Linked DNA regions of Cricetulus griseus. The protein of the gene in region 2 interacts with the protein of the main gene of each other region in a biochemical or structural test. Links are inferred from orthologs where the notes say so. Each region holds a gene or a part of one and is shown on either strand. Other genes may lie near its edges. The genes, in order: Cd44 and Nf2.

Region 1 (10,776 bases), on a different chromosome or scaffold from region 2:
AGGTGCCCTTGGTTTGGTGAGGGTATTATAGGTACACAGATATTTACTACTCTCCTAGGCTCAGTGTGGGCTGAAGATCAGATTATTTTGGAAATATCCAAGCCTCTGGAAAAGTCTTTTGGGGCACATCCCATCTGGGAAGCTTCCCATGGGCAGGAAGCTTTTATTCCACCATGTCTCTTGGCCTTCTTTCTTCCACAGTGATGAGTGAGAAGTCTGATTTTCTTCTGGTTATGTTGTGTTTGTTTGATTTGATTTTTGAGACAGGGTCTTTCTATGTAGCTGACCTATCAGACTTATCTTCCTCTATTTTTGACTCACAAGAGCTGGGATTCTGGGTGAACAGTATCTTATCCAGCTCTACAGTATCATGCCCAGGCCCTAGTTTGAGTCTTACTTACTGATCCTTACTGCACAGCCCCTGTCTGTTTCCCTGAGGCACTATCATATTAGTGTCTTCAGACTTTTTTCCAGGCTTGTAAAATTCCATAGAAAGGTGGAACTTCTTGAAGGAATCAGGACTTTGACAGTGTTCTGGAAGCCAAGAAGAAAGAGAAGACCAGGGAATTTGAACAGGTCCATATGCACAACTTCAGAGTGTGTGTGTGTGTGTGTGTGTGTGTGTGTGTGTGTGTGTGTGTGTGTATGTGTGTGTGTGTGTGTGTGTGTGAGAGAGAGAGAGAGAGAGAGAGAGAGTGAGAGAGAGAGAGAGAGAGAGGAGATATTTATATTGCCAACTGTGTCTCCCTTGTTGCCCTTAACTATTTTACCCTCTCCAAATAATATATTTTTGCTTTTCTGTGGGGATTGTGAAAGGACAATAAACTAGACTGCATAAAGGAAGGGAGGGGGCTGGGACTCCAACTGCTCATCCACCTTCCTCATCATTTGCAGGATAGTTACCAATGCCAATTTCTGGGCCTCTGTGGCAATCATTTCACTTTCCCCACAATTGATTTAGGGTTGAACACTTCCAAAATTTTCAACCAGTTATCAGTTAACCACCATTTCCTAGCTTCAAAGTATTGTTGCTCTCCTTTCTCCTCCCAAGCTTCTTTTGAGAATAACTCTTCATTTCTGTCATGTCCTTTTGTTGAAGAGAGGGTCTCATGTATCCTAGCTGGCCCAACATTCAATATGTGTCCAAGAATAGCCTTGAACTTCAGATCTTACTGACTCTAAATTCCAAAGGCCAGGGTTACAGACACACACCTGACGGGGAATGTACTGTATATGTTTATCTTATTGATTGTTAAATAAAATACTGTTTGGCCAATGAGACAGCAAGTTAGATGGAACTAGGAGTCAAAGAGGATTCTGGGAAATGTAGTAGAGAAGTGCTGATCCAGGCAGGAAGTGACATAGCAAGGAGACTCATATTTAAGCGAAGGAGAAACAGGAAGGGTCCCTTTTTTCCCGTTCGCCTCCTCCAGCGACAGGATATGAGCCACCAGCAAGGAGGGACACCAATAAGGTGTCCGATAAGATAAGTCTTATAAAATATATAGATTTATGATAATTGAGACTGAGCTAACAGATGAGGAATCCTAGTTATTGGCCAAGCAGCTTTGAACCTAATACAAGTTTCTATGTATTCATTTGGGCCTAACTCTAGCGGGTGGCTGACATAAAGCTCACACATGGCGGTGGGGCTCAGGCAGCTTTTGGCAGAAAGATTTATCGTAACACACACCACTACACCAATATGTGTAGTGCTGGGAATGGAACTCAGGCCCTTGTGTATACCAAGCAAGTACTCTCTCAACTGATCTGCAGCCCCAGATGTGGTTAAGAAGCTGTCATGATAGTTGGAATTAAGGTATGTTTACTACTCTCATAAACCAAGAGGCCAAAGGCAGCCCTAGGCATTTTAGGAGGTCACACTTTACAGCATCCAATCATCCATTGCTTAGATGATTCTGAAGAATGTATCTCCTGGGGGCAGTCAAACTTTTCCTCAACATTAAATTCAAGTGATGGAAGTTTGTGTATTTGTTTGTTATTGTTGTTTCTTTCTTTAAGTGGTACATCACTGTAATCCCAACACTTGGGATGTAGGAGCAGAGGGATCAAGAGTTCTAGGGCTGTGGAAATGACTCAGGGGTTAATATACTTATAGCACATCTGTGAAGACTGGAGATCAGATCCCTAGAACCCATGTAAAACATTGGTGGGCATAGTGGGTCACCTGAAACCCAGAGCAAGGTGGCTAGCAAGACTAGCCATACTGGAGAGCTTTGGGTTTAATTTAAAGACTCTGCCTCAATGAATAAAGTGGAAGAGTCAGCAGGGATGACCTTGATATCCACCTCAGGCTTCCACATACATGTCTGCTCCAGCATGTTTTTCTATACACATGCAAACAAAACAAAAAAGGAACATGAGTCCAGATGCCTCAGAAACCTATGAGTTCTTCCACATTACTCAGACATCCAGAGAGTCACTCTCTGCCCCTCCCCACTTCCCAGGCCCCTCACATCAGAGACCATGGGTTCCATTTCTTATGGCTTTTTAATGTTTTCCAATACACACTTTCAATTGGGCGATATATACATCACGCTTTCCTCATTATTATTGGTCAATCAATAAATATACAAAAACCAGAGAAAGGGAGGGTGGTCTCTGAAAAAAAATCAAAGGAACGATAACAAAAGTCATTGTACATACATAACAATTGGCTGCACTTGAAAAGTCAACACAGGAGATTTTCACAAAGTGGTCAATTCTTGTTCCTCGGAACCTTTTAATTTCCCGAAGAATGTGGCTCTTTCTTCTACTTTGTTTCAACAGTCTTGAATGCATGTTGGCTATAAAGCCAGTTCTTGGTGTTATGGATGACAATGTAAAGCTTTTTTCTTAAAGAAAGCCTTCAGGACACACGAGAAATTTACAATTGCTGGTAAAAATAACATCTGAAGTGCTCATGTTACTTTACAAAAATCACTAAATGTCACCCCCTTATTTTTATTAACAAACTCCCAGTTCAATGACTTATCCTCTATCACCTGGCAAGTCATTGGTAGGAGTAACACAAAGTCAGATTATGCTACCAGAATCATAATCATCATGGCAAGTATTATCCTACCCCAATCCAACTGGTAGGCATATCTGGAATGGGTAGAGAATCGTCTCTGGCCCTGAGACTTACATGCCTCTCCTAGTGCCTCTAAAGGGTATCTAAGTATCAAGGAGAGCATGGAAGAGTCTTTTGTACCCTTTATACACAATTCCAGAGTGGTTTGCTGCATACAGGTTAAAGAGCCCAGGTGATCCTGTTGTGGGCATGTCAGGCCAGGACAGCTGTAAGGACAAGGAACATTCTAACACCAGTTGAGAAGAATAAACAGTCACCTAGTGTGTATTTCAACTGGAAAAGAAGAAAAAAACTAAGTGTCTAAATATGAAACTGACTAATAAACATTCACAGAGGAAGAAAAAGAAAATCTGTGGGAGCCATGGCATTGGAGAGAGGTGAACAGGGAAGGAGGGAAAGTAGGTAGGGGAAGCTGAGGCTAGAAATAGTTTTGGAAAGTCTGTGCATTTCCTTAAATAAAGCCTGAGTCCACTCTTGATATAAACTCAAACCCAATTTAGATGGTAAACTTTTCTCTTGCATTTTTTTATTTGAAAAAATATTAAACATATAAATTTAGTCAACAGTAACACCATGGGAGACTTAGAAAGGAAGTCTCATCTTACAGAAAGCCTTACTTTATAGATTTAATTTCTTCTACAAGTAACCAGGGAAGATCCAGGAGCAATGGGACATTCCGGCAGATGGATAAATGCCACCAAACACTTACCCAAAATGTGGGAAAAAAAAATGAGGTTAGAGGGTAACACCATTCTCCCTTGGCTAAACCATAAGTCTGCTTATCCGTTGATAAGATTCCAGTAGTGGGCAGCCCTGAGGCTTTCTGGGGGATTCCCAGGCACCTCATTCTGAGGACCAACTGGTTTGTGAAAATGTCAACAAGCACATCCATGGAAATAGTGGGATGGGTTGTACACCGCACCCTCCTTATGCCAATCTACTGCTTGCTGTCTGCACTTTAATTTCTGTTGGCTGCTCTTTCATTGTAAGGTGTCACAAGTATGCACCATATTGTTTTGTGAAGTCACTAGTAGGATCAGTTTCTACGAAATAAGACTCTAAAAACTGAAGGACATAGAAACTTAATGTGCCCTTTAAGGGAGAGAAAAGGGTGGCCCAAACACAAAGGTGATTAAAGCTTTCCTACACACAATTCAGATTCCAGAATAGGAGAGAAACCCTTTTGATAGCCCTAGATACAAAACAGTGTTTCTTTGTTTGATCTTTTAGGAAATTCAGCCTGGTGAACCTGAGTTGGGCATAGATGCTCTGGCACAGGTTTAGGAGGACCATTCTAAAGTCATCCTGATATGCTATGAAGACTCAAACCTTGCTGGTTTAGAAACTGAAGGATCACAGCACAACAGGTCAATATGGAAGATGGACAGGTGTTTATTATGAATCAACTTATACCCTGTTATGCTTCTGACAAAAATAAACTAAAAAAAAAAGTCATACTGAACAAAGGACCTCCAGGGTTTGATTTTTCAAAAACAAAGATAAATAGCTTACTACAGATAAATAGCTTCACCCTTTGGGGTTCTTTCAGAAGCATCTGAAAATTTTCCAGCAGAGAGGGGAGTCTATAAAAAAAAAAGGTATGTAACCAGTACACCTGATCTCCCACCCCACTGGAAAGCAATGCCCGAGATTGGGCTGCTGGAGAGGCAATATGGACCCGTTCAAATTTCTTCCCAGAGACCAATCCCTCTAAGCCCTGGGGTAAGTCCCTGGCTGGTGGCTGTTACCTGGGACTTAGGTTAGGGAAAAGATTCAATAGGGACCAGGAATTTGCATTTGATAGAAGCCATCCATAGCATCCCTTGGGAATGCAAGACCTCTAGGAAGGAGCTGGAAGAGTCAAATTCTTAATGGAGTATTCTTTGGGCCCTCATTTCAGAAAGCAATGCTGTTTTCATAAATTGGAACAGACTTTTAACAAAATGCAAAAGGAATAGAAAATTTTGTGCAGAAACTACCCCCAATAAAAATAATCAGTAGCACATTGCATCTGTTAAGGGTCCCAGCTCCCAGTATTGACATGTTTGCGATTTTGGTGTCTTTCCAAGTTACTGGTATAGGCACTACACCCCAATCTTCATGTCTACATTCTGCAGATTCCGGGTCTCATCCGCTGTCATAAACTGGTCTGGAGTCTCTGAGGGTTCCTTGTTCACCAAATGCACCATTTCCTGAGACTTGCTGGCCTCCCCGTTGAGCTCACTTGGCTTCCTGTCCTCCACCTTTCCATTGCCACTGTTGATCACCAGCTTTTTCTTCTGCCCACACCTGATGAGTTTTAAAAACATCATATGAGAAAAGGTACACAATCAATCAATCAATCAATCAATCAATCAATCAATCAATCAATCCATCAACCAACTATCATCATCATGACTGAAACCACAGGGGATATCAACATGATCATCAGTACAAGTTAGCATGGTCTTCCCATGTGCTAAGCACTGGGCATGGTGCCCTTTCTACTTGGTCCTCCTAACTCATAACACCAGCACTTAATTGTTTGTTTGTTTGTGACAGGATAGCTCTGCCTGTCCTGAAACTCACTCTGTAGACCAGGCTGGTCTCCACCTCAGAGATCTGCCTGCTTCTGCATCCCAAGTGCTGGAATTAAAGGTATGCACCACCACTGCCTACTGACACCAGCACTTCTTAAAGTGAGGTCCCTAGTCCAGCAGCAAAAGCACCTGGGGACTTCTCAGACATGGACATTATCCACTCTACTGCTTACTGAAGAAGAAATCAGAAGGCGGTGGGGCCCAGGATCTGAGGTTTAACAGACTATAATTGCAGCTACTCTGGAGGCTGAGACAGGAAGATCACAAGTTCAAGGCCTTCTTGGACTACAAAATGAGTTCAAGACCAATCTGGATAGTGAATGAAACCCAGTCTTCAAATAAAAAGGCAAAAGAAGTCTGATATGTATAGCTTAGTGGTAGAGTACTTGCCTAGCATGCATGATACTCTAGGTTCAGTCTGTGGTACTTGGAACAAACAATAAACCACCACACTGTGGTGACTTCTGCTGCAGTCAACTTTGAGAATCAGGTACCCAAAGCTATTATTACCCCCAGCCCTTTACAGCTGAAGAAATTGTTAGGGATCTGAAAATCCAAGTCTTTCTAAGTTAGTTAACAAGCAATGAAAGAGTCAGGATGCAAACCCTGATCCTTCTGACTCTGGAGTCCTGGTTCTCCATCCCCCATACCATGCAGTGCAAATGTTTGCCTGTGAAGCATTCAAGTTCCACAGCCTCAGATAAACGGTGACGACTGTGATCATAAATCATTCTGATCTGTGTATCCAAGAAAGTTCCGCTACTTCCTCCTTCAGCCCTTGTCAGTATTATTACAACATGGACAGAATATAAGAAACCAACACTGATTCAGAAGGACAAGGCCATACTGATTTTTGTTTCTCTAAGGTTGGTTAACTTTCACATATGCTGCTATAGGATGCTTAAAACCAATGTAAGAAAGACCATTTGTTGTCACTTTGAGATTTCTTAGTAATGTTACTCAAGATTCTCAGACAGGAGAAGGGTTTCTGTGGAAAGCATGACTCTGACCTTGCCCTTGTGATTCTCATAGCCCTGCCTGGTCCCACACAATCTGACTCAGAGCTTCCTCCTTGTTGTAACCTGCTCACTGCTGTGCATATAGCAGTTATATTAGGCTAATGGATGCAAAGTCTTAGAGCTTCACAACTATGACGAGGGGAAATAGATGAGCACTTATTAAATGCATGCTCAATTCCAGACACAGTACAAGTAGTTTGTTATAATCCTTATTAAAGCAGCTTTCACTCCCACTCTTGCAGCAGTGGGAACTGAGGACCAGAGCACTTTAAGGGCTGGTTTGAGATTGCAGAAGAAGTAAGAACGACAGAGTCCATATTCAGATGTTGAGCTTCGGACTGAAAAGGCTGCATTCACCCTGGCCCTGTCAGTGCTGAAGATTTGAAAACAATGAAGTTGGAACAGTTCTCTTTGCTGCTGGATATTTCCAGGTCTAGAGTCAAAGCGTCTATTATTTGTGATCATGGGCTCTTCCCTGCAAGACTGCCAAGGTCATAAACTTTAATCTCCTGTTTGGGAAAGTCAAAACCATACTGCCTCAACAGGAAGCAGATTCTGTATCTTCCAGCACAGGTATGGGGAAGGGTGGAAGGAAAGATGTTCCAACTGTAAAATAAATGGATGAGGGGTGGGGATGTAGGTGGGGTCCATAGAGACAGCAGGATGCATGATGAAGGACTTTAGTTGGCTTGGTATTGAGATCTTAAAGCTGTGTGACCTGAAGCATCTCACTTGACTTCTCTGAGCCTCAGTTGATAATATGTACTTGTGAAATCAGGCTGTTGGACTGTCAGCCTCACAGGATTGGGGCAAGTACTTCACACAGAGGGAACTCCATAGTCTGCCTACTACTGCTATTTACTGTTTTATGAACAATGTGGGTTGAAATAAGGCCTGGGATAATCAGAGGAGAACCTGGAATATAGTAAGCATTCAGAAGTGCTGGCTGCAGTCGTTAATGGGATGAAAGCCACGTGATGTGAACTCTAGTGGTTTCTTCAGCTGCTTCCACTGTAACCACCCGACAGGGATGACAACATCCTAGAGAGACCTTCGTGCCCCTCCTTTGGGCCATCAGACAGTTAAAACAAGGGACCCTAAGAAATGGGAATTTCTTCCAAAAAGAATCTCATACTTGGGGGAAGAAAAAGGCTGAATCCTGGGGCCAGCCAGAGGGGAACTTGTCTTTGGGATAGAGAGCTCACATAGTTCCCACAAATTGTAACAACTTCCGTGCAGGACAATCTGGAGCTCTGACAATGCTGGGTCAATGATGGGTGGCATCATGCCTTCACTATAATCGCTTACATGTTCATACCTCTTGCCTTCTATTTAAACCTTAAACTCATGTTTGGACTCTGAAGATGGACTGGGGGAAGAGTTGTCATGGGATAGCTTTATTTGTTCCTCTTCCCAATGTGGCCACAACTGACTACCTCTCCTTTCTCTGCTTTTCACAGTGAATTGTGAAACTGTAACTAGCCTATTGGGAATGGGTGGGCAAGTCAGGGGCTAGGGTTCGGGCTCTGACCCTGACAACCCCAGCCCACCATTGGCCTTCCTCTAAGCACTGGTAGGATAACTCAAAGGCTGGAGGAGAACATTGCTGTCTTATTTCAAATTCTCAGGTTGCATAGCCTGCGTTCTTAGAGGACAATTGCCTGACTTAACTAAGTCTCACTTGCTTATTGTTTATCAACCAGAGAGTTGAAGGGTAGAATAAGAAACAAAGGAAAATGCACTCTAAGTATTGAAATATGCCTGTGCATTCGGACAGGACCAGATTGTTACTCCAAATCAGCAGTTCTCAGTCTTCCTAATGCTGCGACCTTTTAATACAGTTCCTCATGTTGTGGTGACTCCCCAACCATAGACTTATTTTTGTTGCTACTTCATAACTGTAATTTTGCTACTGCCGAAGTACAGAGGTCCAGAGCCAGTGCTCATGACTGCTGAGCCACCTCTCTGAGCCCCTCCCCACCAGAACCATTAAGAAGCTGTGATTCTCATGGCCCCTGTGTGTTTGTATGTGTGGTTGATGCACTGAGCACCAAGGTGTCCTCAATAGTGACTGGATGGAATTAGTAGTGTGTGTGTGTGTGTGTGTGTGTGTGTGTGTGTGTGTGTGTGTGCATACATAGGTTTGTGGGCTCCTGGGTGCACATGAGTGTGGAGACCAAAGGTCAATGTGTCTTCCTGAGTCACTCTCCCCCTTATTTATTTATTTATTTATTTATTTATTTATTTATTTATTTTGAGGCAGGATCTCTCACTGAATCTGGAGCTCATCAATTTGGCTAGGCTGACTGTCCAGTAAGCTCCAGGGAGAGACTTTTGGATCTGCCTCCCCAGTGCTGGGATTGTTAGTTCACACTACCATGTCTAGCTTTTTATGTAGGTTCTGGGGACATGAAACTCAGGGCCTCATTTGTGCTCAGCAATCCACTACTAACTGAACCACATTTCCAGCTCTTAGTAGGTATGAGGCCCTGGCATATTTAAGCCTCAAAACTTTTAAAGAAGAAACACTGTCTTCATTTTCTCTCATTCCTCATCAGGGCTAACAGCCATAGAAGCCTGCAAAAGATGTTATTGGATAAATGAATCCCCTCTGGAGGCCTCATTTTCCACCAAAATTTTTTGGATGAAAATAGGGTTCCCTATCTTTCTTAAATGCAGTGTTCAAAGCAGAAAGGCTCTTGCCTCCTAACAGGATTAGAGATGGGCTATTAGCTTTAGGAAGACAACACACATTAAGGGGCCTGTGTGGCCGTTAACCACCCTTCAGCAGCGTGGCAAATCTGTTTTCAATTATCAAATCAGGACACAGTAATTTATGGTGTCCATGAAGCTGCTTTTCTGGTGAGAGGCTAGTTCAGCCAGCTTCTGCCTGTCTCTGTTTTTCTGTTGCTAGGGTGATGGCTGGCCTGGGGACAAGAAGAGGAGAGGCCATGAGGCCCTTTCTCTGCCACTGAGGAGACAGAGAACCATGTGGGATGAGATGCCACAATGTGACAATGTGCAGACTCCAACTGCTCTCAGGGACAGTTGAGATGTTTGGGGAGGGCCCCACACATCAACAGCATTGGGGACATCTCTATGGTGACATCTGCAAAACTTATGGACTGTATATGTGATACCTCCTAGGGTCTGGAATCAAAGGCTGATTCCAAACAAAAGGAAATTCATATTTAATTGAGCAAAAATAATCCAAGAGGAAGAATAAAAACTCTTTGAAGGGAATCCCCAACTTACACATCTAAGTTGAACTAAAAATAAGCCTGTTTCTATCCAGTCATAGGAGCCCAAAGGAGATCTCTTAGATTTCCCCTCAGTTTTGGTATGTGGTCAGTGCTCATGACTAATGTTTTCATTATGCTCTCAAAGTATAGGTAGCAATGCTGTGACTTGGTTGAACATTTTCATTAACCCTAAATAAAATAAAACAGTATTACTCTGAAGATGATAAGAAAGCCTACAGAGACTATGCTGGGCGCTGGAAAGAGTTGCTTATTGTTTCTGAACAACAATAAAGGGAGCCATTATGGGTTTAAAGAGAAATCTGGCACTAGGGAAATGACCAGAGAGCTACAAGGATGACACAAGCTAACAATCTAAGCAATAGTGGAAAGGCTACCATAAATGTTCTCCCCCGATAATGAGATTGATGACTACCTTATATGCCATCCTAGAGCCTTCATCCAATAGCTGATGGAAGCAGAAGCAGACACCCACAGCTAAACACTGAACTGAACTCCTGGAATCCAGTTGCAGAGAGGAAGGAGTGATGAGCAAAGGGGTCAGGACCAGGCTGGTGAATCCCACAGAAACAGCTGACCTGAACAAGGGGGAGCTCATGGACCCCAAACTAATAGCTGGGAAACTATCACAAGACTGATCAAGGTCCCCTGAATATGGGTGTCAGGGAGGAGGCCTTGGCAATCTATGGGGCCTCTGGTAGTAGATCAGTATTTATCCCTAGCATACAAATGGACTTCTGGAGCCCATTCCACATAGAGGAATACTCCCTCAGCCTAGACACATGGGGGAGGGCCTAGGTCTTGCTTCAAAGGATGACAGACTC
Region 2 (10,792 bases):
AAGGCTGTCTCCCTCTCTTTGAGTTTCAAGGCCTCGATTTCCGTCTTGAGTTCATTGAGCTGCTCTTGCAGATGCTTGCTCTTCTCCATGTACTCCACTCTGTGGCAAGAGGAAACCATGCATCAGAACTGGGCAGACACTGAGGCATGGAAGGGATGCATCATAACTTACAAGCTGTTCGGTATGATAGCCAGGAGCAGCCTGGGGTTCACACCTGAACCTGGCCACGCAGAAGCCAAGGGAGCTTGGGCTACCCACTTAACTGCAATAATCTCTTTTCCACATCAGTGCAATTGGGATAATAATTACAGAGCCTCTGGTCAGGAAGAAATGAAGTGTAGGAAGAAAGCCCTGTATAAACTTTCAGAGTGTTCTCCAAATAACCCTGCCACAGACAGCTTTCAGTTCTGTATGAAGAATCACATCAAACAAACCTCCTGAATCCCAAAACACTCTTCTGTTTCTGCCCCTCCTGAAGCAGTCAACCAAGAGATCTACTCTCCCACTTATCCTGAGACCTTTAGGAAAAGATGGCAGACACTCACTCAGCCAACACTGAGAAAAAACAGGTCTCCACTTTCACCTGAAGAGGTTAAAGTGTTTAACCATAAGAGCATGAACAGAAAACCATATAACACAAATATAAGGAAACATTCTGAACAGATTACAGCAGCCAGTCAGTGGGCTCTGCCAGCCTGTGTAGGAAATAAGTGCTATGGGCTGAATGTAGTGCTGTCCCATTCATAGACTGTGGCCAACTCACTCATGTATTAGGAGGTGATGCCCTGGGAAGTAACTAGTTCAGCCTCATGATGGGATTTGTGTCCTTAAAAAAAACAAAAAACACCCTAAAGAGATCCTGACACATACGAGTACACAGCAAGGGCCATCTATGAACAGGAAGAGTACTCTCATTGAACTCTGAGTTGACAATACCTTGACCTTGGATTTCTAAGCCTTCAGAACTACGAGAAGTAAATTTCTGTTGTTTATAGGCTTTCCAGCTTCTGGCATTTTGTTATAACAGCCAAACACACTAAGTCAGTGAGAAAATACAAACTATAAAAAAACCAAGGCACAGGACAGGATGTGGCCTTATGCTGATCACAACCACATAAACATGTACATCTGGACAATAAGAAAGGGACTCAGTCTGATGCTGACAGCAGCGGCTCTGGATCACAGCTCCTTAGCTGTTCTCAGTAGAGGGATCAAAGGAGGATAGCCTGGTTTATGATGGTTCATGCTGGACTGCAGAGCCCTATTCTGAGAGTACCACAGTGAGTAAGGGGTTTCAATCCTTGTCCTGCTCCTCATCAACTATGTGATGCTGGGTGACTCATTAAGTCTATTCTCTTTTATATAATTAGAACACTAAAACTGTTTTTTTGGAAATAGGGCCTCATGTAGCTCAGGCTAGACTTGAATTTGTTAAGTAGCCAAAGATAATAATGCAGTTCTGATCCTCATATCTCTATTTCCTGAGAACTAAGATTACTGGTGTAGGCACCATGCCTGACTTATACTGTGCTGGAGATTAAACTCAGGGTTTTGCACATGTTGGGCAAGCCCTCTACCAACTAAGCTATATCACCAGTCCCTAAAACCTGCCTTTGATGCCAGTGGGATATTTGTTGACTAGTATGAGTTAAATAAGACAAACCCTAAAATGCCCAGACTTACAGGTGCTCAACACATAGGGCCTCCGTGATTGTTCTCTGCCAGCTGTGGCACTATTAACCAACTTACTCAAGGACTGAGGGGGATCTTACTTAGATTTCATCTACCACGGGATTCCTCTCCATCTCTGCTTCACTTCCGCTGACCACAAAGTGGAGGTGGAGGGCACTTGACAGAAGCAGCTGTGGTTTGGCTGGTTGCCAGCAGGACCCACGCTTTGCTCAGCCTAGAAACCCTGTTTTGTTTTTTGTTTTCTTTTCCTTCACCTTTGTTTTAGACATAGGAACCACTGCTGAAGAACATGACCAGAAGAAAACTAGTTAAGCACTATGTGAACAACAGTCTGACTCGGGGACTTACCATGATCCAGTCTTTTTGTCAGTCAAGGTTTGAACCACTATAAATTCCAGGCCACCAATCAAATGTTATTTTTCTTCTGGGGACACTGACTACTGTCCTGATCGGTCATCTTTAATTTCTAATTAGGAAATTTGTTCTCCTAGTGGGTGACAACAGAGCAAACCTTTGCAGGGATAATGACTGACTAACTGCTGTGGTGACCTTTGTGTTCCCAGACCAAATCTACTCTCTCATGTTCACAACTGCCTCAAGCAAGTAGGCCACAGAGGGTACATACTTTTCTTTCTCTATCTCCATGGAAAGTCTCTTCATGTCAGTATCCTTGAAGTCGAATGATAGGCTGTCACCAATGATGTTGAAGCTTGGTATGTCAGGAGGCAGTGGTGCTGGGATTGGGTTCACAGGCTGTCAGTGAGAAAACTCAGATTAGGAGGTTTAAATTACACAGGACAACGCCCTTTGCACTCAGTACTGCAGGGAAGTGGTCCCAAAGCACCCACATTCAGACAAAGTCACTCTTCTCTCCTCAAACCTCAGCATTTCCATGATCATTTGAATCAAATGCAAATTTGCACTCAGCTTTACATGTGGGAAACTCCCAGGCGTGGGGCTATGAGCTGGACACAGAAAAGACAGGCTCCCTGGCTCTAAGCACATGAAAGTCTTGTTCAGGAAGCAGATGTCTACAAATTCTCACAGTAAGTTAAACACTAGCCAGGACAGGAACAGAGGCTTAGGAGGCTGGAGGGGGTCACTAGGGTACTGCTTCCATGGGGATCAGTGAATAAGCCAAAGAAGGGTACCAGAAAAGAGGCATGGTGGTAGGCAGAGTGCAGGGGTCCAACAGGAGCACTGGACATCTGTAGTGCCCGGCAGGGAGGTTGGTAGGAGACTGGCTTTGGACCAGAAAGGCTTTGCTCATATGTTACAGGCTTAGATTCAGAAGACACAGTCAGAGGAGGACTTGAAATAAAGTAAAGTCACTAGACTTGTTTTCAGGACCTTTTCATCCCAAAACAAAAGGTCACCTAGCATATAGCCCCTAGCTACCTCTCATATGTTCCCCATTATTTGTCCTGTTAAATCATAAACAGCACTGCTTATTATCCCTTGGGCCGTGCCAATTTTGCATTTGTGTACTTCTGCATGTATCCTTCCTTCTTTCCCTCCTGGCTGCTTTCCTCTCTTCCTCTTTCCTTGTCATTTTCCTAGTACCATTTTCATGGTACTAGGGGTGTGCATGTTAGGTAAACACTACCACTAAGCTATATCCGCAGCCCTCTTGTCATTTTTGAGATAGGGTCTCACCACATAGCCCAAGCTGGTCTTAAGCTCGTGAGCCTCTGTCTCAGCCTCCTGAGCACTAGGATTACAGGTGTATGTCATGTCTAGCAAGTTCTCCATTCCTTCTTCAAGGTTCTCAACTCCTTCAGTCTCTTGCCATAGCCCTCTTGGCAAAATGGCTGCTCTTTCCCTTTGCAGTTCTTTAGCATAGTGTGCACAGAGCTGCAACAGGTCTTTCCCTCAACCCCACACTGCGAAGTTCCCTTATGGCTATCTTTTCCTCTGTCTACAAACTTCCTGAGGGTACACTGTCTTTATTCATCCTTGGACTTTTTTTTTTTAACCAAGTCTGGAACAGTGTGTGGAAGGAATAGAACCTCTGAACTTTCATTTATGGCAATGAGGGTCATTGGAGAGCGTCTGTGGAGACAGGGTCTGTGGAGAGCGTCAAACATGGCTCTGAGCAGGGACATCTGGGCCCCACTCTGCTTTCAGAGCTGAATGCTGGGTATATGAGAGTCTGGTCTATGAAAATTCATCAGGATGGATAGTTATAATTTAGGAATATTTATTTATCTTATACTTAAAAAAAAATCCCAGGAAGGAAGAACACTAGCTGTTACCCTTCTGGTGACAGCAGAAGCTAGCATAACCTCTTCGGTAAGTATCACAATTGAACATCCGACCTCACGGTTCTACTTACAGGAACTGAATCTACCAATAATGCCACATATGTGTGCAAAGATTTGTGTTCAGGGATGTTCAGTGCAGCTGTATTCAAAATTGCTATAGAAAACATACTAAATATCCATCTATAGGGACTGGCTAGCCGAATTACAATCCACCCATAGGCCATGATGTGATTAAGGACACATTGCCAAAGGAAAGAGCAAAGTTTTATAAATTTATAAAGTTTGCTCCAATAGATGTTTTAAACACATGTATTTCAGGTACGTAGCCCAGCTGAGCCCTCAGACTATCACAGTTCCAGCTGTCACCTGAATGTGACCATCCGAGAGATCTTGAGAGAAGACATGAGCCTGATTAACACAACATGCCCAAGACACAAATAAATGGTTGTTTGGGGATTATCTGTTACCCAGGAATAGATAACAAGGACACATGGCAATAGCAAACTGCTTGCATTTCCTCAACTCAAACCCTGGGCACTTATGTCTCCGTGTCCTGAATGCATCTGTGTAATATGTGAATGTGCCATGTGCACAAATGTGCTGTGTTTGTCATATACACAACTATGCAGTGTGTGTGTAGCATATGTGTGAATGGGCTATGTGTTTGTGCTGCAAATACATTGTGTTCTTACCTAGAATATCCCATCCTCTCTTTCCAACTCAGCAGGGAATCCAGCTCCTCTGCAAAATGCAACCATACCAAGCCTTTCCTGTCTCCAGAGCTGGGCTGTGATCTGGCACCTGTGCATATCTTCAGGATAGAGACTGGCAACTGATAGTATTATATGGATAGAGAACAAGTGAGCAAAACCTTTACAGAGTGGAATGTGCAGAGGAAAGGAAGGAAAGTGACATCTATTTATCTCGTGACCCCCATTTAGTACAAGTCAGTCTCCCAGTCCCCAACTGAGGTTGGCAGCTGGTTCTGGCACAGCATTGTTGCACTCTGAGGTGTAGAGTCAGTCCCTCCACAGAACTATATTATGGTACACAGTATATACTGACAGCTGAAGATTACATTTAGCTTGGCATTAGGGAGCTAGACAGCAAATTCTCTTGAGGGTAGAGACTATAGTAGTAATAAATATTCCAGAGCTGGAAACAGCCCTATGGTCTGTTATCTAAGCAACAAGAGTGGTAGCTGACTAGTCAGTCCAAGGCTAAATGGCAGATTAGGAGGTCCTATCCAGGCTTTGCTTTGTTTTGTCACCCTGAAGACACTGTGAGGTGAAGTGCAGTGCAGGGAGGGCTTAGGGAAGTTGCTAGACGAAAGCAGCTAAAGGCTGCTAGACTGAGCCCAGACTCACTGGATATGTGGGCTTGGTGGCAATTTCCAAGAGTTTCTGCTTGGCTCTTCGCTCTGCTTCTCGGGCTTCCTGAAGGTCTTGCTTTAGCTGATCAGCCTCTTTGGCCCTGCAAAGAAAGAAAGATTTGTCAGTTCCACAGATGGGGGACAGAGAGAGTGAGTACACATTTACCTTACCTCCAGAGCAAGGACCTGAATTAACACTGTACATGGTACCTAACAAGACAAATAAGGACAATGTGACAGGGACATTTACAGGAAGCCAGAACTTCTAAAGTGATAACAGTATTCCTGGGTGCTGTTTATCTCAACAGTAAAGCTAGACTAGAATATGGAGTAGCTGGTGGGAAACAACAAATGAGGCAGCCCTGCAAGCCAGTAAAGTGGGTTATGCTTGTGGTGGCAGCTACCCCAGAGGCTGAGGCAGGGGAATTACTTAAGGCCAGGATTTGGAGGACAGCCTGGGCAACACAGGCAGATGCAATCTCAAAAGAAGAAAAATAACAAGTGTGGTAGCCTATGCCTTAAACTCCAGCACTAGGAAGCAGAGGCAGGCAGATCTCTTGAGTTTGAGGCCAGTTTAGTCTACAGAGTGAGTTCCAGGACAGCCAGGATTACATCCTGTCTCAAAACAAAGAAACAAACAACAGCACCACCAACCCACCTCTAAAACGGGCTGAGAGGAGGGAGAGTGGGGAGGGCCCAGAGACGCTCTGCTTGTCTCTGGGTGAAGAGTGGGCTAGGCAAAGGAAGGCATCACAAGTCTTACACTGAGGACATCATCATAAGCCTCCCACTGGGCCACAAAGGGCAGAATGTGAAAGAACTGTTTTTCACATCTCCAGTAAAACACTTGGAGGCCAATTATCCACTTTGCTTGGGCAGGAAGAAGTCCCATCACTGAAGGCATCTGTGTCTTGGTGCAGCACTCTGCTCTATGAGTTGGTATAGCCATGGAAGGCTTGTATAGCTAGTGGTCCAACCCAAGAGACATGATGCACACACAGAAAGGAGCCTGGGGTGAGCAAGCATCAAGGAACCATATACTCAGAATGACATGCAAAAAGTGGTGAGGGGCTGGAGAGATGGCTCAGTGGTTAAGAACACTGATTGTTCTTCCAGAGGACCAAGGTTCAATTCCCAGCACCCACATGGCAGCTCATAACTCTAACTCCAAGATTTGATATCCTCACACACATAGATATACATGCAGGCAAAACACAAATGCACATTTGAAAAAAAAATGGTGAGAAAAACTATAGTGAATATACCTAAGTAGCTAAGAGCCATATTCAAGTCCTCTAAGTCATAGAGCCAGATGCTGTGAGGATGTGCCAGTGTTTATCTAAAGGCTACAGGACTAGAACAACTCAAAGTCTAGAATAGTCTAAAGAGTACAAACAACAGCTCTATCCTTCAACCTAGACACAAGGTGGGGCAACCTGGTCACAAAAAAACACAGCTGCTCTGCTCCCCTAACTACCTGAAAAACTGCAGGGAAATGGGTACTTACTTCCCTTTTGAAGTAAATAATTGCCATTGATCTGCATCAAAAGGGAAAAGAACCAAGATGATTTGTGTGTGTGTGTGTGTGTGTGTGTGTGTGTGTGTGTGTGTGTGTGTGTGTGTGTGTGTGTGCAGGTGCAGAGGTCAATGTGGGGTATAACCCTCTATTGCTCTCCACTTTAGTGGAGGGCTTCTCAATAAAGGAATAGCTCATTAATTCAACTACACTGGCTGGATCAGCCTGTCTTTGCTTTCTCTCCTAACTCCTGTGCTGAGGCTATAGATACATGTCACTGTGCTTAGGTTTTACATGGGTGCTGGGGACACAAACTCAGGTCCTTATGCTTGTGCAGCAGGTATTTTACTGATTAGCCATCTCCCCGGCCCCACTTCCCCTTTAAAAAATTATTTTATTATGTGTATGGGTGTTTGGCCTGCATGTATGTTTGTGCACCATGTGCATGCCTGCTGCCCATGGAGGCCATAAGAGGGGGTTGCATCCTCTGGAACTGGAATTACAAATGGTTGTAAGTCACCATGTAGGTCCTGGGAATCAAACTCAGGTTCTCTAGAGAGCAGCCAGTGCTCTTAATCCATGAGCCATCTCTCCAGCACACTGCCCCTCCCTCTTTTAAATGCAAAAAAAAAAAAAAAAAAGAGGCCTCTTCTTATCTCTTTGGCTAAAAGCAGCCTATGGATATGCTTAAATGTTTTTCCTGCAAACCTCATGAGTAGAAGGAGACATGACAGAAAGGTTCCCTGGACAAGAGAACCTCCCATCCCACCAGCCTGTCAAGGAAGAAGTCTTATAGTCCTGTTCCCACAACAGAGAAGTTTAAGGATGCTGTAACCAGCTCTGGTAGGGTTGGAAGCAAGCAAGCAACCCTTTACCAGGCTCCAGTGCCCAGGACAGCCACTCACCTCCTCTCTGACTCCTCAGCCATCTTCAGTGCTAGCACTTCCGCCTCCAACACCTTCTGCTCCATCAGGCGCTTCTCCTCCTCTGTCCGAATGGCTGTGGCCTTGATTCGCTGCATCTCTTGCTCAGCCTCTGCAGCCTTTTGTGCCAGAAGCTTGGCCTCCTCCTCTGTGATCTGCGCCTTTTCAGCCAACAGGTCAGCGGTTTCCTCAGACCGCATCTGGGAAGGAGAGTGCTCTCAGACAGTGTACAGGCTTATCTCCTCACATCTGGGAAGGAGAGTGCTCTCAGACAGTGTACAGGCTTATCTCCTCACATCTGGATTCCCCAACATGGCAACAAGAACCAGCCTTTTTTTTTTTTTAACTTTTATTTTTATGTGTGTAGGTGCTATGTCTGCATACATGTCTGTACACCTATATATGCAGTGTCTTAGGAAGCCAGAAGGGGCCATCGGATCCCCTGGGGCTAGAGTTACAGAAGGTTGTAAGCTGCCATATGGATCCTCTGGAAGAGGAGTCAGTGCTGCTAACCACTGAGCCATCTCTCCAGCTCCAGGAGCCAGTCTTAATCTCCCTGTACCTTCCCACTGAGAAATACTCAGTCTGTCTGACAACAGATGACATGCTACACACCAACTATTCAGCTCTGCAGGCTCCATCATAGAAAAAAGAAAAAAGCATTCTAGATAGAGAATGCATTCCAGCTAAAGCCTGTGTTTGTAGGGGAATAAGCAATGTAAATTCTGTTCTGTCCCTTTAAGTCAATGATTCAAAGGCAGGAGTCATGCCTACTGCCTACTCCTGCACAAATGTCTGGAGACTATTTTTCTGCAGTGCTGGGGAATTAAATGCAAGGTAGACTGAGCATGGTGGGTATGCCTCTCCTCCAATCAGGACCAAGAGTGCAGGGTTTTCCTTGGTTAAATAATGAACTCAAAGTCCAGCCTGGGGCACCTGAAACCTGTCTTCTCACTAGCCATGCCCTAAAACTGAATACATGAAAACAAATAAAAACATAGAATCTTGGGCATGCTAGAAAAGGGCTCTGCTCCTTAGGCACATCCCAGTCCTAGGACATTTTTAAGGTCGGAGTGACATTACTGGCAGCTAGCAGGTAGAGTTACAAACATCTTTCAAAAAAGAGAACTACTCCCAGATTATGGTTGGTATTCCCAAGAATTGGTAGGGCTAAGGCCAAGAACCACTGATTCAAAGGCAACTCAGTTATGAAAGTAGAGTTTGGCTGCAAATGAACTTAACCAAATTTTGCAGAATGAAAAGGTACTGGTGTTTTAAAAAGTGAAGTCAATCATGGTCCACAGGAGGCTTAACTCCACAAGTCACCTCCCAGAGCCCTAACCCAGAAATCACCAGCGCTTCATTGGCCATGGTTGCTTCTTCTTTCATCTGCAGAAGCCTCCTCTCTAACTCATCCCTTGTGCGCTCAGCCTCCTCCCGCATCTGCTTCTCTCGAGCCAGTCGCTGACGCTCCATCTGGGAGTAAGAGAACAGTTCCAAGTCACAGTGCTGCAGACACCCAAGAACGGACAGTTTCTGAAGGCTCACTCTCCTCTGGGGATCCTTCTAGTGTCTTCACTTTAGGTAGCCTGGGTCATTCTCGTTGTCTGCTGCCCCCTGTCCTAAACTAACTGCAGAATTAAAAGCTGTACTCCTTGAAACAAATTCCAATAGGGAATACAAATTACAAAACCCAAATTCAGTCTCCATGACTTCACATGGCTCTGTTCTATGACTGGCAGTTCTCCACATAGTTCCCCCTTCCCCAAAGCAGTGGCCCAGAAAAAAACAGCTCTCTCATCTGTTCAGATGAGCCACCTTGACACTGTTAGTCCCTATGGCCCCTTCACACAATTTCATCCACAATAGCGCACTCAGAATTTCACTGCAGGAAGCTGCAGTGGCTTTGCATAGTCTTGTACAGCCCCATGTGGAGGCAACTCAGAGCCAGGCAGGAACACAAACCCCACCCTTACAGAAACAGTACAAAGCCTCTACTGCCACCCCCAGCCTTCTGGATCACAGTGTTAATTGGGCCACCTGCCAAGCTTAATAAGGGACCAAGACTAAAGACAGCACAGTTCTCCGTGACTCCAGGGCACTGAGTTCAGAAAGCAGGAGCCAGAAGTGACCAAGGTACTATTTTCTGCCTTAGATAACAAAATCATGTTTAATTACTCTTTCTGGCTTCAATCTCACCCAAACTCTAGTACTACAAGGCCACCCTTTCTAAGTATGAGCTCCCTAAGCACCCTGTAATTGAAAGAATCATGCAAAATAGATAAGCTTTAAGTTCTTTGAGTTTCCTCTTGACCTCAGTGAACAGTCGGCAATCTGTTCTTCAATTCCCACTAAAATATAATTTCTATTATTCTCTTTTTGAAAAAAAAAAAAAAAAAAAAAAAAAGACCTGGCTGTCCCCAGTTCCCAGCCTTGTACTTTTCATGAGACTTTTACCCTAAATAATACTGACTTCCTGTTTTCAAAGCAGGTTATGACTTACGAAGATTTCCAGGTGCAATCTGTCCTCTGAAAAGAGGCATCACCAGTTCCACTTGACAGATGAGAAAACTGAGTCACACAGACAAAAGATTTAGCTGTAAGATCACCATGTTCCACTGGATGCATTTGCACTATTCCCTTCTAGGGTCCAGGGGCCTTCACTCGCCTTGCTGCCTTTAGATCTCTAACTTCTAAACTTTCCTCTGCTGAAAGTGAGGTCAAAGAGTGTGCTTCTTAAAGTCATCACTACACCCCCATGCTAGCTTAGTAGCATTTTGTTGTTGTCCAAAAGAACCTATACCATCATCCCTAACGCATTAAAAAAAAAACACTGATGGCCCATGTCCCAGAAAGCAAACAGAGGGCAAGCTCATAGAGCAATGGCTCAAACTGCGCATTTCTCTCTAAAGCCTGGTGCTGGGAGCCAGCCTCTCTGGGCTTCCCAAATCAGAGAACACCACACAGACTAATTATTACACCTCTGAGCTTACAAGTCCTGAGGGGAGCCAACTGTAGCTGTAGC

What was found.
Region 1: the proteins of Nf2 (region 2) and Cd44 form a complex in vitro, tested with the Homo sapiens proteins (2 studies listed by BioGRID, with this or other methods). The link is inferred for Cricetulus griseus from reciprocal best matches to the Homo sapiens genes NF2 and CD44.

The regions. Positions count from the first base shown.
Region 1 is NC_048599.1:74,841,343-74,852,118, reverse strand, and holds the end of Cd44 (CD44 antigen), read right to left. Parts: intron 5,384-10,776; coding exon 5,179-5,383; 3' UTR 4,955-5,178; downstream 1-4,954. UniProt on the Homo sapiens protein: Cell-surface receptor that plays a role in cell-cell interactions, cell adhesion and migration, helping them to sense and respond to changes in the tissue microenvironment.
Region 2 is NW_023276807.1:100,113,823-100,124,614, reverse strand, and holds part of Nf2 (merlin), read right to left. Parts: intron 9,244-10,792; coding exon 9,121-9,243; intron 7,968-9,120; coding exon 7,750-7,967; intron 5,430-7,749; coding exon 5,324-5,429; intron 2,446-5,323; coding exon 2,318-2,445; intron 100-2,317; coding exon 1-99. UniProt on the Homo sapiens protein: Probable regulator of the Hippo/SWH (Sav/Wts/Hpo) signaling pathway, a signaling pathway that plays a pivotal role in tumor suppression by restricting proliferation and promoting apoptosis.